Caenorhabditis elegans: one gene and its partner. The protein of the gene in region 2 interacts with the protein of the main gene of each other region in a pairwise test. Each region holds a gene or a part of one and is shown on either strand. Other genes may lie near its edges.

Region 1 (5,365 bases), on a different chromosome or scaffold from region 2:
CGTTGCTTATATACCCGCTCACGGCCGAGTGGCAGACATGTTCATGTGAAATGCAGAGAGACAGCTAGCGATTGCAATTGTGACAAATTTCGTAACAAGAAAAAATATCTTACTTTCACCCGAACATGTTTGCCGCTCGGCCGTGAACGGGTATATAAACAACTGCGATTCTCCATTCTCTCACATCGGTCCGGAGTTGATGGGTTACCCAGTCATTCTTCTGCTTGCAGGAGAGCCCGGTGTCCTTGTGATGCCAAACCCGTGTTCCTAACAGAATACAAACCCTTCCCATCGACACCAACTTGACCGTTGTTTTTGGTTTTTTGAAACGAGAATTCAATAAGGATTTAAAATTGGTTTCTGTTAGTTTTTTTTTGGAAAATCTAGTTAAAAGTTAACCCTTTCATGATATGAACACTTTATCACTGTTTTTCTGTTTTTCAGAATGAATCTTGCAAGGGTCAAAAGCTAAATTGGATATGCAATCTCGGTTAAAAAACCATAAAGTTTCCGATTTATCGGTTTCAAAAAATAATTTTTATTGAAAAAAGTATGGTATCCGTGATGAAACTTACCAAATGTAGATACATAAATTTCAAAGTTTTGTTTTCTAATGAGAATATAATAGGGATTAAAAATCGAAAAACTAGAATCCTATTTCTTATTTGCTTTTTCAGATGAATTAGTTAAAAGTTAACTTTATCAAGATTAAATTAAATTAAATTAAAAGATCCGAGATTTTACAACGTAGCTGTGAACTCGAAGACCTACTCGAATTTCACTTCAGCATCTCCATATTGACATGGAATTTCCATTTCAATTGCAGCAGTCTGTGGAAGAATCATTGGTTCGCCGCCAGCCAGTAGAAAATTGTTGTCTGAATTGTTATGATTAGTTGAAATCAACTGGTACTTTTACCCAATTAAAAAGTTAATAATAAATTTTTTTTTTAATGTTTAAATGATTTTTTGAAAATAGGAAAATGAGCCAATTAAAAATACTCCTATTCAAACATTGTAGGGGTTCGGACATGCGACAGCGATATAGTTTTCTCAAAAAGTGGCAAAATCTAAGTGATTGCCACTTTTTGCATGTCAATGAAAAAATCTAAAAAATTTTTTGGAACGTTTTACTATGATATTTGGCCATTTTGGCATCATATGAGCGTTAGGATTTTTTTTAAATACAGAATTTTCAAACTAACATCAACCAAAACTTTTGCTGAAATTTTCAAATTTTTCAATCTTTTTGGAATGTTTCAATTGATTTTTAGAAACAATTTGTTCCTCTTACCTGGTGTGAAACTCAATGGACTTCCAGAGTCAAATCTTTGCGAGTCAAAATTATTATCTGAGTTTAACTTTGATTTCCAGAATCTAAAAATAGTAATTTTTGAAATTCTATTAAAATTGAAAAAAAAAACTTCATGTCAGTGTCCGCTGCATTATGCCATCCACAATATTCCATATCATCGTCAAAATGACATGTAAGCTTTCCACCGTCGGATACAGTTAGCATTGGTTTCACAGGAAATGGGGTAAGAGATGAGATCGAACGAATTTCAGTTGCGGAGTACGGTAGATTTGATGTGAGGTAGTCAAAGTCAATTGCATTTTCACTTGTACGTTGTAGGGATGAGACTCCGCGAGCTCTGGCTCTTCGAGATGAAAATTGACTGTACTGAGAGCTCAGGGAGTGACAAGCAAAACTGGTATCTGAATTAATTTGAAGGTCATATCTAGCTAAACTTTTGATTTGAATTACCGCGCTTTTGTCTCTAAACCACACCTATTTTTCTGTGCCGCACTTTGCATTTTTACATTTTAGACGCAAAATGGTTCTAATCCGTGTTCCAATTTTCAATATAGAAAAAGCCCTACAAAATGAGCGATTTTTCTAAAATCCCAAAAATTAAATTTTAAATTTTGAATAACCTCAAGAGCGACCATTAACAAATTTTCATGATTTTTTAAATAAAAAAGGACAGAAAAAATTTGGTAGAAAAAAAGATTTCAAATCCAAAACTTTTTAAAAACTCACTCAAACCATAAAGTAGCAATATCAAGACATATATATTAAGTACCATACTTCATGAAGAAAATAGTTTGAAAACATATAAATTTCGATTTCAAATCGCCTTTCTCAAAGTTCAATGAGCGTGTGGTATTGCGTACTCCCGAGAATGAATATGAACTACTGGTAAATTGCCTAATTAGGTACGGTGTTTCACTGTCGAGAGTCACAAGAGAAAGTGGGTCAGTGGGTAAGAAAAGTGAATGAGAGGAAAGATATTTATTATTCAATAGACATGATTGAAAAATGAAACTAGAGATTTTCAAAGACAGAGCTTTGTAGTATAGCCTTGCCAGATTTAAACAGGAATTTCTAAGATATTGAAGTCAGGGAATCGGCCACCACCATCAGTAGACAACATTTTAAATTTTAAATATTCAATTCCTCAAAAATTAGATTCAAAATTTAATTCGACGTTTTCAATCACGTTTTCGCAATTTTCGTTCAATTTCGTGTAATATTTACTTGTTCACAGTTCTCTTCGTGGATTTTGAGTGTCTTTTTTTCGAAATTATTTTGAGGATCTTACGCAGTTTTCACCAGAAGAATTACATAATTCCATGGAATTCCATGCCTGGAAATTTCTTTCACTTTTTGCCGCCAGGTATACGGTAAGCAATTGCGCGTAAAGTGTGGTGTATGCGTACTCGCTTATTTTGTCATCCTTTCAAATTTAGAACTCATTTCAGAGGTTTTCTTTCGACTTCTAAATATTTTTTCTTTGTTTCTGTGGATTTAAATAAACTCCATATGTTTTTCTAACTCTTGGTTCATCTTGAATCACACTCTCTGCTTATAAAACTGCAAAAAATGGCTAAAAACTTCAATAAATTGTAATTAAGAGCTTTTAGGTTTGAACCATGTTCCGCAACCAATACGACGGCGATGTAACAGTCTGGAGCCCACAGGGACGTCTTCACCAAGTCGAATATGCCGTTGAGGCGATGAAGCAAGGTTCGGCAACTGTTGGAATCAAGAGTGAAACCCACGCTGTCATCGTCGCCCTGAAGGTTGGCGAAACAACATGTTAATTTCAATTAATTATATTCGTTTCAGAGAGCGCAAAACGATTTGTCGTCTCATCAGAAGAAAGTGTACGAAATTGACACTCACGCTGGAGTTTCCATCGCTGGTCTCCTCTCCGATGGTCGCATCTTGGCTCGCTACCTCCAAACCGAGTGCTCGAGTTGGCGTTGGGATTACAAGCAAGCGGTTCCAATCAAGAAGCTCGCTGAATCTATGCAATTGAGTAAGCGAATTTTGGAAGCAATTTTCTCAAGACATTGTTCTTATTTCAGAACTTCAAGCCAATACACAATATTATGGCCGTCGTCCATTCGGAGTTGGAATTCTGATTGCCGGATATGACGTAAGAACATCATAAATATAATTGTTCTTTTAAATATTTTTTTGTTCAGAAAGATGGAGCACACATCATTCAAACTGACCCATCTGCTGAAGTCGTCAGCATGCATGGAACTTCAATCGGAGCAAGATCTCAGTCTGCGCGCACTTACCTCGAGAGAAATGTTGATAACTTCGAGAAATGTATTTATTTCGGAATATAATTGATAAAATTGAGCAATTTCTTTTTTCAGCAACTCCGGAACAATTGATTGTCCATGCTCTCCTTGCTCTTCGCGACACACTTCCAGCCGAAGAAAACCTCAACGCTCAGAATACGTCTATTGGAATTGTCGGGAAAGATTCTCCATTCAGTCTTCTCGAAGATGCTCAAGTCGCCGTTCATCTCAACCAAGTTTCCACACATCCACGCACAACTGGCGGAGCAGCAGCAGCAGCAGCTCCAGGTGGCGCCGAACCAATGCAAATGTAGATTCTAATTTGAATCACAGACCATGTGAATTACTTTCGTCTCCATTTCTTTTTTATGTGACCCGTATAATTTATCGCCGGTTAATCTCCCTCTCGTTCCCGAATTAAATTATTTTCCTGCTCCAAAAGATTGATTACATATTAATTTCCTTTTTCCGTTCAACAGTCATGTATATGTTGCAGAAAGAACATTAAAGGAAGCACTTCTCGTCATTCGCGTCCATGCCTTCTGTCCATTAATGATGGATGTCTGCGCCGTAGTACACCACGCACCCGCCGTCTTCCGCTATTCCCCGGCGAGCTGCTCCACGGCATTATTCCATAGTTCTTCTCTTCAGTGTTCCATACACTACTACATCACTCAAATTGTAAATCAGCGAAGAAAGGGGAGCAAAAGAAGAAGAAGGGGAGGAGTGTGTGTGATGCAAGAGAGAAGAGTTTCAAATTTCGTCGAATTGAGATTGAAATCTTCTTTGTCGCAGTCAACTCTTTTCTTCGACCCACTTCTGCCTTTTTTTGTTTTTCGATTGGAGCTCTTGACAATTTTTATACATTTTTCTTCATTTAAAAATCCACAAATAGGTAAAAAAGGGAAGTAGGATTTACGGATCTACTGGAAGTTGTTTTTCTAACAAGCGGTTTTGCTTATTATGATCACGAGCAAAACCAAAAATGTTTCCCAAGCGAACCACAATCAATGCCCGACACCATTGTGTGTGCCGCTTCTGAATGAACTGAATAGAATTCTCTCGTTTCTTCCACCAATTCTTCTTTCATTCCTTGTGCCATTTGTCTGACAAGCGAAGAGAGAAAAGAAGAGCGCCCTTAAATGAATTTGTATCGAGCCAATGGCATCGGAGGGCCATGCGGCTCTGTGTGGCGTGCGTTTCCTCACTTCAAGCACTGCCGCCACCAGCACCAGCACACAATGTTCTTTTCGGCAGGAGGCGAGGTCTATTCAGCACTTTTTCTTCACTTTTAGACCAAGTTTTCGAACACTTTTGCACCGAGTGCACACATTGATTCGTGGAAATGATTTTTTTATCCTTGAAATTGTTTTTCTGAAGAAAATATATCCTGTAAATTTAAAAGTTCAAGTGTTTATTTAAAAATAGTCAATTTAATTTTGGAAAATAAATTTTTTTTAACTGCAAATAAGCTTGTTCGGTCGACTTATAGGCTGATTTACTCATAAAAATTTCAATTCAATGGAAAATATTATTCATTTTTACTTAGACGTCTAAAAAAATACATTTTATTTTTCTTTTATTATATTTAAATTTATTCAAAACATGGTGCAATAGAAGCACGAGCTACAGTAAGTTGCACAGTATGCCGGAAATTGTTTTCTTTAGACGTCTATTATTTTTTCGTGAACAGTCAAACCCCGCTTTAAAGGCACACGATCTTTTTCTGAGTGGGTCTCGACACGATCTCAGCTATAGTGATCACAACA
Region 2 (7,146 bases):
TTTTTAGTTTTCTAGGCCACCTATTGTAGATTTTCCTAAAATTTTTAGGCCACGTAGATAAAGGGAAATTCTCGAGTTTTCTGGAATTTCTTTTTTCTCTCTTCCTCCCAGTCTAAGCCGAAGCCGAAGCCGAAGCCTGAGTCTGCGCCTAAGCCTAAGCCTGGGCCTAAGCCTAAGTCTAGGCCTAATCCTAAGCCTAAGTGTAAAACCCTAAATAGCGTCAATGGGGGAGCTCACGCTCCCCCACTGACGCCAACTTAAGCCTAAGCCTAAGCCTACACTTAAGTCTAAGTCTAGGCCTAAGTCTAGGCCTAAACCTAGGCCTAAATCTAGGTCTAAGCCAAAGCCTAACCTAGGCCTAAGTTTTTATGAAACTACCATATCTGGGACAGTAGTTCTAGGTCACAGAAATGCTACAGCTTTTTGAAATTCTAGGCCACTGAGGCATGGAAGAGTTTTTTGCAATTTCTAGGCCACCACTCACCCTGGACAGGTTCTGATTCCTTTGCGACGCCACAAAATTATTCCAGATCACCAGCCGAAATAGCAGAATTACAGAAAAAGTACCGGTTAGAATATATTGAATTTGGTCTCTTGAGACCCAATAACTATAGAAACAAGTTTTAATAACGCAGTTAAAATTGTCACACTCCAAAGGAACATCTACCGTATACCTACAGTAACCGAATAGGATCAGATGATCGGACGCTCCAAAACAGGAAACTGAGATGATTATTGCTGATAACGAGATTTTGAAGCGATGATTGTGATAAGAAATTGGAAAAAATAAGGCGATAACTCGATCTAAAGTTATGAGAAATACCAATGTCGCACGAATACATCCAAGTGGAATTGTTGGCCAAATCAGATAAAATGATAGATTTTTAACGACAAATCCCGGGAATATCTGGCGAATTATGTAGTAGATCTTGTTATGGGGAACTGGAAAAAAAAGTATTTGGGAATCCGCCAAAAAAATTGGTGGCTGAGGTTTCCCTTTTGCGGCCACTCAGCAAAATTCAATTTTTAGTTAGAGGGTTTTTTGATGCAAAGGGGCTTAGGCTTAGGCTTAGGCTTCGGCTTAGGCTAAGGCTAAGGTTGAGGCATAGGCATAGGCTTAGGCTGAGGCTCAGGCTTAGGCAGGTATATTGTTTGAGTAGAGTTTTCAAAAAAGACATAAATTTGTAATTTTTGAAGTTTTTTTTTTCTAAAAATACATACATTTTTTGGTATTTTTTTAAGACTTTTGGTGTTTTTAAATGTCCAAAAAAACTGGTTGAGGAATGAAAAAAAAATTTTGCAGACACACTTGGATGGTCCGAGAAGAGTACAAAATCCAAATGAAAATCGGTGGCCTAATTTTCTATTCCTTTTTTCTGCAACATACCGCCTATCCAAAATGACACGTGGGAGCAGGCTGTCCCATTACGGTTTGATCTACAAAAAATGCGGGAATTTTTTGTCCAAAAAAATGTGACGTCAGCACTTTCTTAACCATGCAAAATAAGTTGAGAACTCTGCGTCTCTTTTCCCCCATTTTTTGTAGATCTAATTGTAAAGTAAGTAGATCAAACTGAAATGAGACACTCTGACATCATGCGAAACGACTGATTTTTCAAAAAAAAAAACCGCATATTATTTTGGTGGCCGAATTTTCTATTTTTCACGGCCACCTAGCTCTAATAGAGCGTATTTTCAAAAAAACCCACCGAAAAACGTGTAAAACATGTCGAAAGCAAATCGAGTATATATCAATGATAATTCAGATTTCCATGCGATCCGTTTCGAGTAGAAAATCGAGAATAAAAGGTAGAAATTCAAAATACAAGTGGTTTGGGAAAATACGACAGACAAAAAATTGTTCAAGATTATTACTATTTCAGGCATTTTTCAGACTGTGACAAGAAAACTGAAATATCAAAAAAAAAAGGGGTAATGAGGGCTCTTTTTCATACTTCGATGAGCATCAGTGCGGACGTACGTCATGAAAAAAGCATCGAGTAAAATATTGAGCTTTGGCTTAAAGAAGTAGTACAGAAAAAGTTTTTGCGACAAAGTTCTGAAAAAAGGCTTATTTTCAGCTAAAATCACAATTTTTGTCCAGAACTTGTCCATAGTGTTTTTTCGATCTTGAATGAATAAATTTTAAATTGGCTAAAACTGGTTATATTTACTTTATACATATATTTATATATTCAATCAAAACATATGACATTAGAGGTAACCAGATACATATCTATTTTATTTTATTTTATTTCATTAGTCAATTTTTGGAATTTCGAAAAAATCTTGTTTTAGAGATATTCTGAAATATGCTGAACATAAATAATTGTGACTTAAAAAACAATAATTTTTTATTAAGTATTTAAGAGATAAATACTTTATTCCAAATTTAACAAGAACCGTTTACAACAAAAAAATTAAATACATATAAAGAGATTACATTTTAATTTTTTTTTTTAATTACGTGATGTCATACACGTATTTCTCATCTTTTTCCGTAATCTTATATTTTTCGAAATGTCATCATCACTCCAAAAGTCGATATTTATTTCTATTTTACAATACCGAAGAAGTGGCATTTCTACGGTCTCTTACTAATAAATAGTAGACTCAACAAATCATGGAGCCAGATCTTAAAAATGTGAAAAACGCCGGCAGTGGAGAATCGAATAAGGAGTAAGTGAAAAAAATTATTTTCGAAAGCTAACCTTAATTCTTTATTTTCAGAGAAAAGAAGAAAATAAAGGCGAGTAGAGAGTCCGGGGAAAAAGTAAAGACTATCACAGAAGAAGATCCAAATAGCAAGAAAATGGAGCTCCCGCCGACTCTCATGCCAAAATTCCCGTCCGAGAAGATCCGCAAACAACATAAGTCCCCTCCGCCGAAAGGGACGCTGGCATATGAGGAATATGATCCGGAGGAGGAGGAAAGGATTGATCTTATCTGGGATATGTCGTTAGAAGAAGTTTGTGAAAGTGAAGAACATTCACAATATGACGATTGGCTGGGCCCGACGAGTTTGGTGAGTGGGACCATATACTAAGAGAGATGGAATCTGTGGTATGTTTGTACCTTAGAATGTTCGGGGGGAAGACTATACACTTGATTGGGAATGCGTATCGGCTGGAAATTTTCTATCTGGCATCATATCCGAAGTAATGCAATTCAGAACGCGATCGGGATGCACCTGACCCAGTTAATGATGCTTTATCTGATAGCGTCTTGTTAAGTGGTCTGGGGATACTTTTCACTCCTAGGGAGTTCACCATAACTTCGTTATTTTTCAGGACGACCAAAATTCTAAGTTGGAAAGGCCCAAGCTGGAACCGGAGCAGCCCGAAAAACTGGAGAGACCACTAGCTAGACCACAGCCACCACCACCAGCAATACCAGTTGTCAAGAAAATTAGCAAACAAAACACCAAGGATAAGAAAAGTGGTCGGATCACCGATCGGAAGATCCATAAGAAGAAGGACGCGGCGACGCAGGATGATAACAAGAAATCACCGGAAGACAAGAAGAAGGTTGTGGGGACGAAGAAGGGATCGACGGAGGATGCGAGCTCGGATAACCTGTACAACGGGAAAGTGCCAAGTGGGCGGAAATCGAAACTGCAGAAGAAGTCGACTTCACAGCAGCCTGTGCAGGTGGGGTTTAGCAATCAAACCACTAGTAATATCTCATTTTTAGAAAACAACACGTTCTCATCCATCAGTATATTTGCAACCGACTCTTGCAAGAACGGATCGTTCCCTCAAACTGCCCCCAGCCGATCAGAAGTCCGTCGACGAACGACCGAGAAAGGCTACCACGAAAATTGTCCAGCCACAGCAGCCTTGTAGAGGAGGACCCGGGCAGCTGCAGAAGCATCCTTCGAAAGTTGTTCAGCAACCGGGTGCTCCAGGAGCGACACCCGTAGCATCGAAGCCGAATCAACGGGAGCAAGCGGAGGGATTGTTCAAGAAGATCTACAAAAAGAAGAATTCTCGAGCAGTTTCGGATTGTACTGTTGAGCGGTGAGTTTTTCCTGGATGCCTGTTATATATTTAAAAAAATATATTCTTTGCAGAATGAAAGAAATCCTTACCAAATCCTATGTCCTGCCGGAATACAATCCGAACGACCCGATCGATTTCAGTCCGGATCTGCCGAAAAAGTTGTTTGACGAGGAGACGTGGAAGTTGCGTATGAGCAACAAGGGAGCCATCCGGAACGACGTGTTCCTCAATAACCGCCCGTTTTGGCTAGCCCGTGACGGCACAGAGCAGGTCCCGAGAGTTCTAATCCAGATGCACCGCCCGTTGAAACAAATGCACAGCGGAAATCCGGCGTCGATTCAACCGAAACTTCATCGAACCGATCCGTTTTTGGATCCGAAGGAGGACGCGTTGGAGAGACTGAAGATAGTTGATAAGGCGATCGGAGTGGATCCGCTGGAAAAGGAAAAGGAAATGAAGAGACTTTGTGCGAACACGTTTCATGGGACGCTGATGTTTGAGGTTGATCAGCGTCAATACGACACTGAACAGCAGAAGAAGGTAAGGGGATTGGGTCCTGGCACGAGCAAAGCTTTCGAGCTACAGTATCCGCTTTATGCTGTTGGAAAAATATTAACCGTGTCCACCGTACTCCACGGTACGGTAGCTGATAGAGCGCAGCTGTTTTGCGATTTTTTTGCCAAAAATATCTCGACAAGAATTGTGAGAGCCTTTTTCTTGAAGAAGCATACTTGCTGGAAAAAAATTATCGATTTTTTGAACATTTGTGTTACGAAAGCGCAAAATTCTGAGAATGCGTATTGAACAACATATCTGACGCGCAATATATCTCGTAGCGAAAACTACAGTAATTCTTTAAATGACTACTGTAGCGCTCTTGTGTTGATTTACGGGATCAATGCGTTTTCATTCAATTCTACGTATTATTTTCTCCTTTTTTGCTTAATTTTAATATTCGATCGATAAAAAATGATTCAATTCGAAAATCGAGTCCGTAAATCGACACAAGAGCTACTTCGCTTCGAGATATTTTGCGCGGCAAAAATGTTGCGCAATACGCATTCTCAAAATTTTGTGCTTCCGTAATATCTGAGAGGTTATCGATTTTTCGAAAAAGCTTTCCGATAAAAACAATAAAACACATAAATTCTTGGGAAAAACAATGAAAAATCGATAAATTCCAAAGAAACAAAATTTTGAAATTACAGTGCTCTTTAAAGGCGCACACCTTTCTGCATTTAAAAAATATTTGTCGCTTCGAGACCGGCTGCCGTATTTTGAGCACTCATTGAGCAAAGATAATATCACGTTTTCAGGAACAATTAATCTAAACTTTTTGTATACACTATAAAAATTATCAATAGAGCGCAATTACCGGCAAAAGTTTTTCGATGATTGTGTAATAATTCCAGGCAGAAGCAGAAGGATTGAAGCTGGACCCAAAACGGTCAAAGCCTAATGTAAAGGAAAAGGATCAGAAGTCGCCGTTTGAGGAGCCGAGAAAAGTCGCTTTCAATGTTTCAGACAAGTGTACGTTGCACGTATATTCTAGGTACTAGATATTTTTTAAATTGAATTTTCAAAATTAAAATTTGAATTGTTCCAGAAAACGCCGTCCACTGACGAATCCGGGGAAAAGCGAACGTTTCACGGAGAAGAAATATACGAGGGGTGAGCGGAAGATTAGGAAGAAAGAGCGAAAGCCTGCGGTGCCACAATTGGTACCATCCACGTCATCATCCACCACAACATCTGCTACTTCTTCGTCTTGTAGAGAAACTAATATGCTTTGAACTCTTGCTTTTTCTAATAAATTGTAGTTGTGGAATCGAATAGCAAAACGTTTCCCTAAACTGTTAACTCCAAATGCATTTGCGTCGCGCCTAGGCTCTATCCCATTTGACACCCTCTTCCCCCCAACTTGACCTCCCGGGCTATAGCTGGTCCAATTGGTCATTTTACTTATTTGTCCACACATCTTTTTTATTTACTTTTTTTTCTTTATCTTCCGGTGTAGCTATTTCTTGTGACAAATAAACAATTATTAATTATTGTATGCTAATTGGCTAATACATCGAATTTTACGCGCAAATTTTGATATTTTCACAAATTTCTACAGTAGTCACATTTTTAAATTCGATTTATCTCGAAAACGGCTCAATTTTCACGGATTTCTGGCTTTCCTCATAAATTGAACTGGAAGAGTTTTTGCCGAAGTAGGCCATTTTGGCACGGCCATATCTGTGGTAGATTTACGGCGCGTTGCGTGTCGCGTCGCGGCTCGATTTTAGTTGTAAAACTAAATGTACTTGTCCGTGTGGAGTGCACGACTTTCCCAGTCCCGCTGGCGATTGTCAATGGAGCGCGAAAAATGCAATGAGGAAGGACAGAACCCCGTGTCAAATTTTGAACGGCAAAAATTTGTTTTAAATGAAATTTCCCTAAATCACTTAATTTTGCATTGAAAGTAGTATGGGGGCACAAAATTCTGCGAATGCGTAATTCGCAACATATTTGACGCACAAAATATCTCGTAGCGAAAACTACAGTAATTCTTTAAATGACTACTGTAACACGGGTGTCGATTTACGAGAATCATCTTTAATCGATAAAATATTAAAAGAAAACACAAAAATGACAAAATAGTTTGATATCGCTGTCACATTTCGAATATATATTCGTTTTGAAAATCCAGCCCGTAAATCGACCTACAGTAAATAGTCATTAAAAGAATTACTGTACTTTTCGCTACGAGATATTTTGCGCGTCAAATATGTTGTGCAATACGCATTTTCCGAGTTCAGTATTCCCGTAATAATTAGCTAATAAATCTTCTTTACGATACCCTCAAAATAATAAAACTGCGTGGCGTGTACTGCAGAAAACCTAATATTTAGGCGCCGCCTTTTTCTCGTCCACTCACGGAGAAAAGGCAAAAATTCGGGGACCAACCAATATCAGGCCGCCGACATCCTACGTGTTCCGCGCGCCGCTATGTTTAACTCGCAGCGGGCGGAGACAGCTTGCCGCGCCCACAACGAGTTAAACATAGCGGTGCGCGGAACCCGTAGGATGTCGGCGACCGGATATTGGTTGGTCCCCGAATTTTGCCTTTTCCCCGTGAGTGGACGATAAAAAGGCGGGG

The links.
Region 1: the proteins of Y39G10AR.15 (region 2) and pas-6 interact in a two-hybrid assay, tested with the Caenorhabditis elegans proteins (one large-scale study listed by BioGRID).

What each region holds. Positions count from the first base shown.
Region 1 is NC_003283.11:5,581,903-5,587,267, reverse strand, and holds pas-6 (Proteasome subunit alpha type-1), read left to right. Parts: upstream 1-2,924; 5' UTR 2,925-2,933; coding exon 2,934-3,083; intron 3,084-3,129; coding exon 3,130-3,322; intron 3,323-3,371; coding exon 3,372-3,442; intron 3,443-3,491; coding exon 3,492-3,621; intron 3,622-3,671; coding exon 3,672-3,910; 3' UTR 3,911-4,107; downstream 4,108-5,365. Other genes in the region: CD4.11 (MAM domain-containing protein), read right to left, coding at 772-877, 1,294-1,376, 1,424-1,715, 2,041-2,086. UniProt on the Caenorhabditis elegans protein: The proteasome is a multicatalytic proteinase complex which is characterized by its ability to cleave peptides with Arg, Phe, Tyr, Leu, and Glu adjacent to the leaving group at neutral or slightly basic pH.
Region 2 is NC_003279.8:2,322,730-2,329,875, reverse strand, and holds Y39G10AR.15 (DUF5523 domain-containing protein), read left to right. Parts: upstream 1-2,546; 5' UTR 2,547-2,623; coding exon 2,624-2,679; intron 2,680-2,730; coding exon 2,731-3,025; intron 3,026-3,290; coding exon 3,291-3,650; intron 3,651-3,693; coding exon 3,694-4,019; intron 4,020-4,072; coding exon 4,073-4,541; intron 4,542-5,413; coding exon 5,414-5,553; intron 5,554-5,607; coding exon 5,608-5,794; 3' UTR 5,795-5,884; downstream 5,885-7,146. Other genes in the region: srbc-64 (Serpentine Receptor, class BC (Class B-like)), read right to left, coding at 485-942, 1,710-1,887.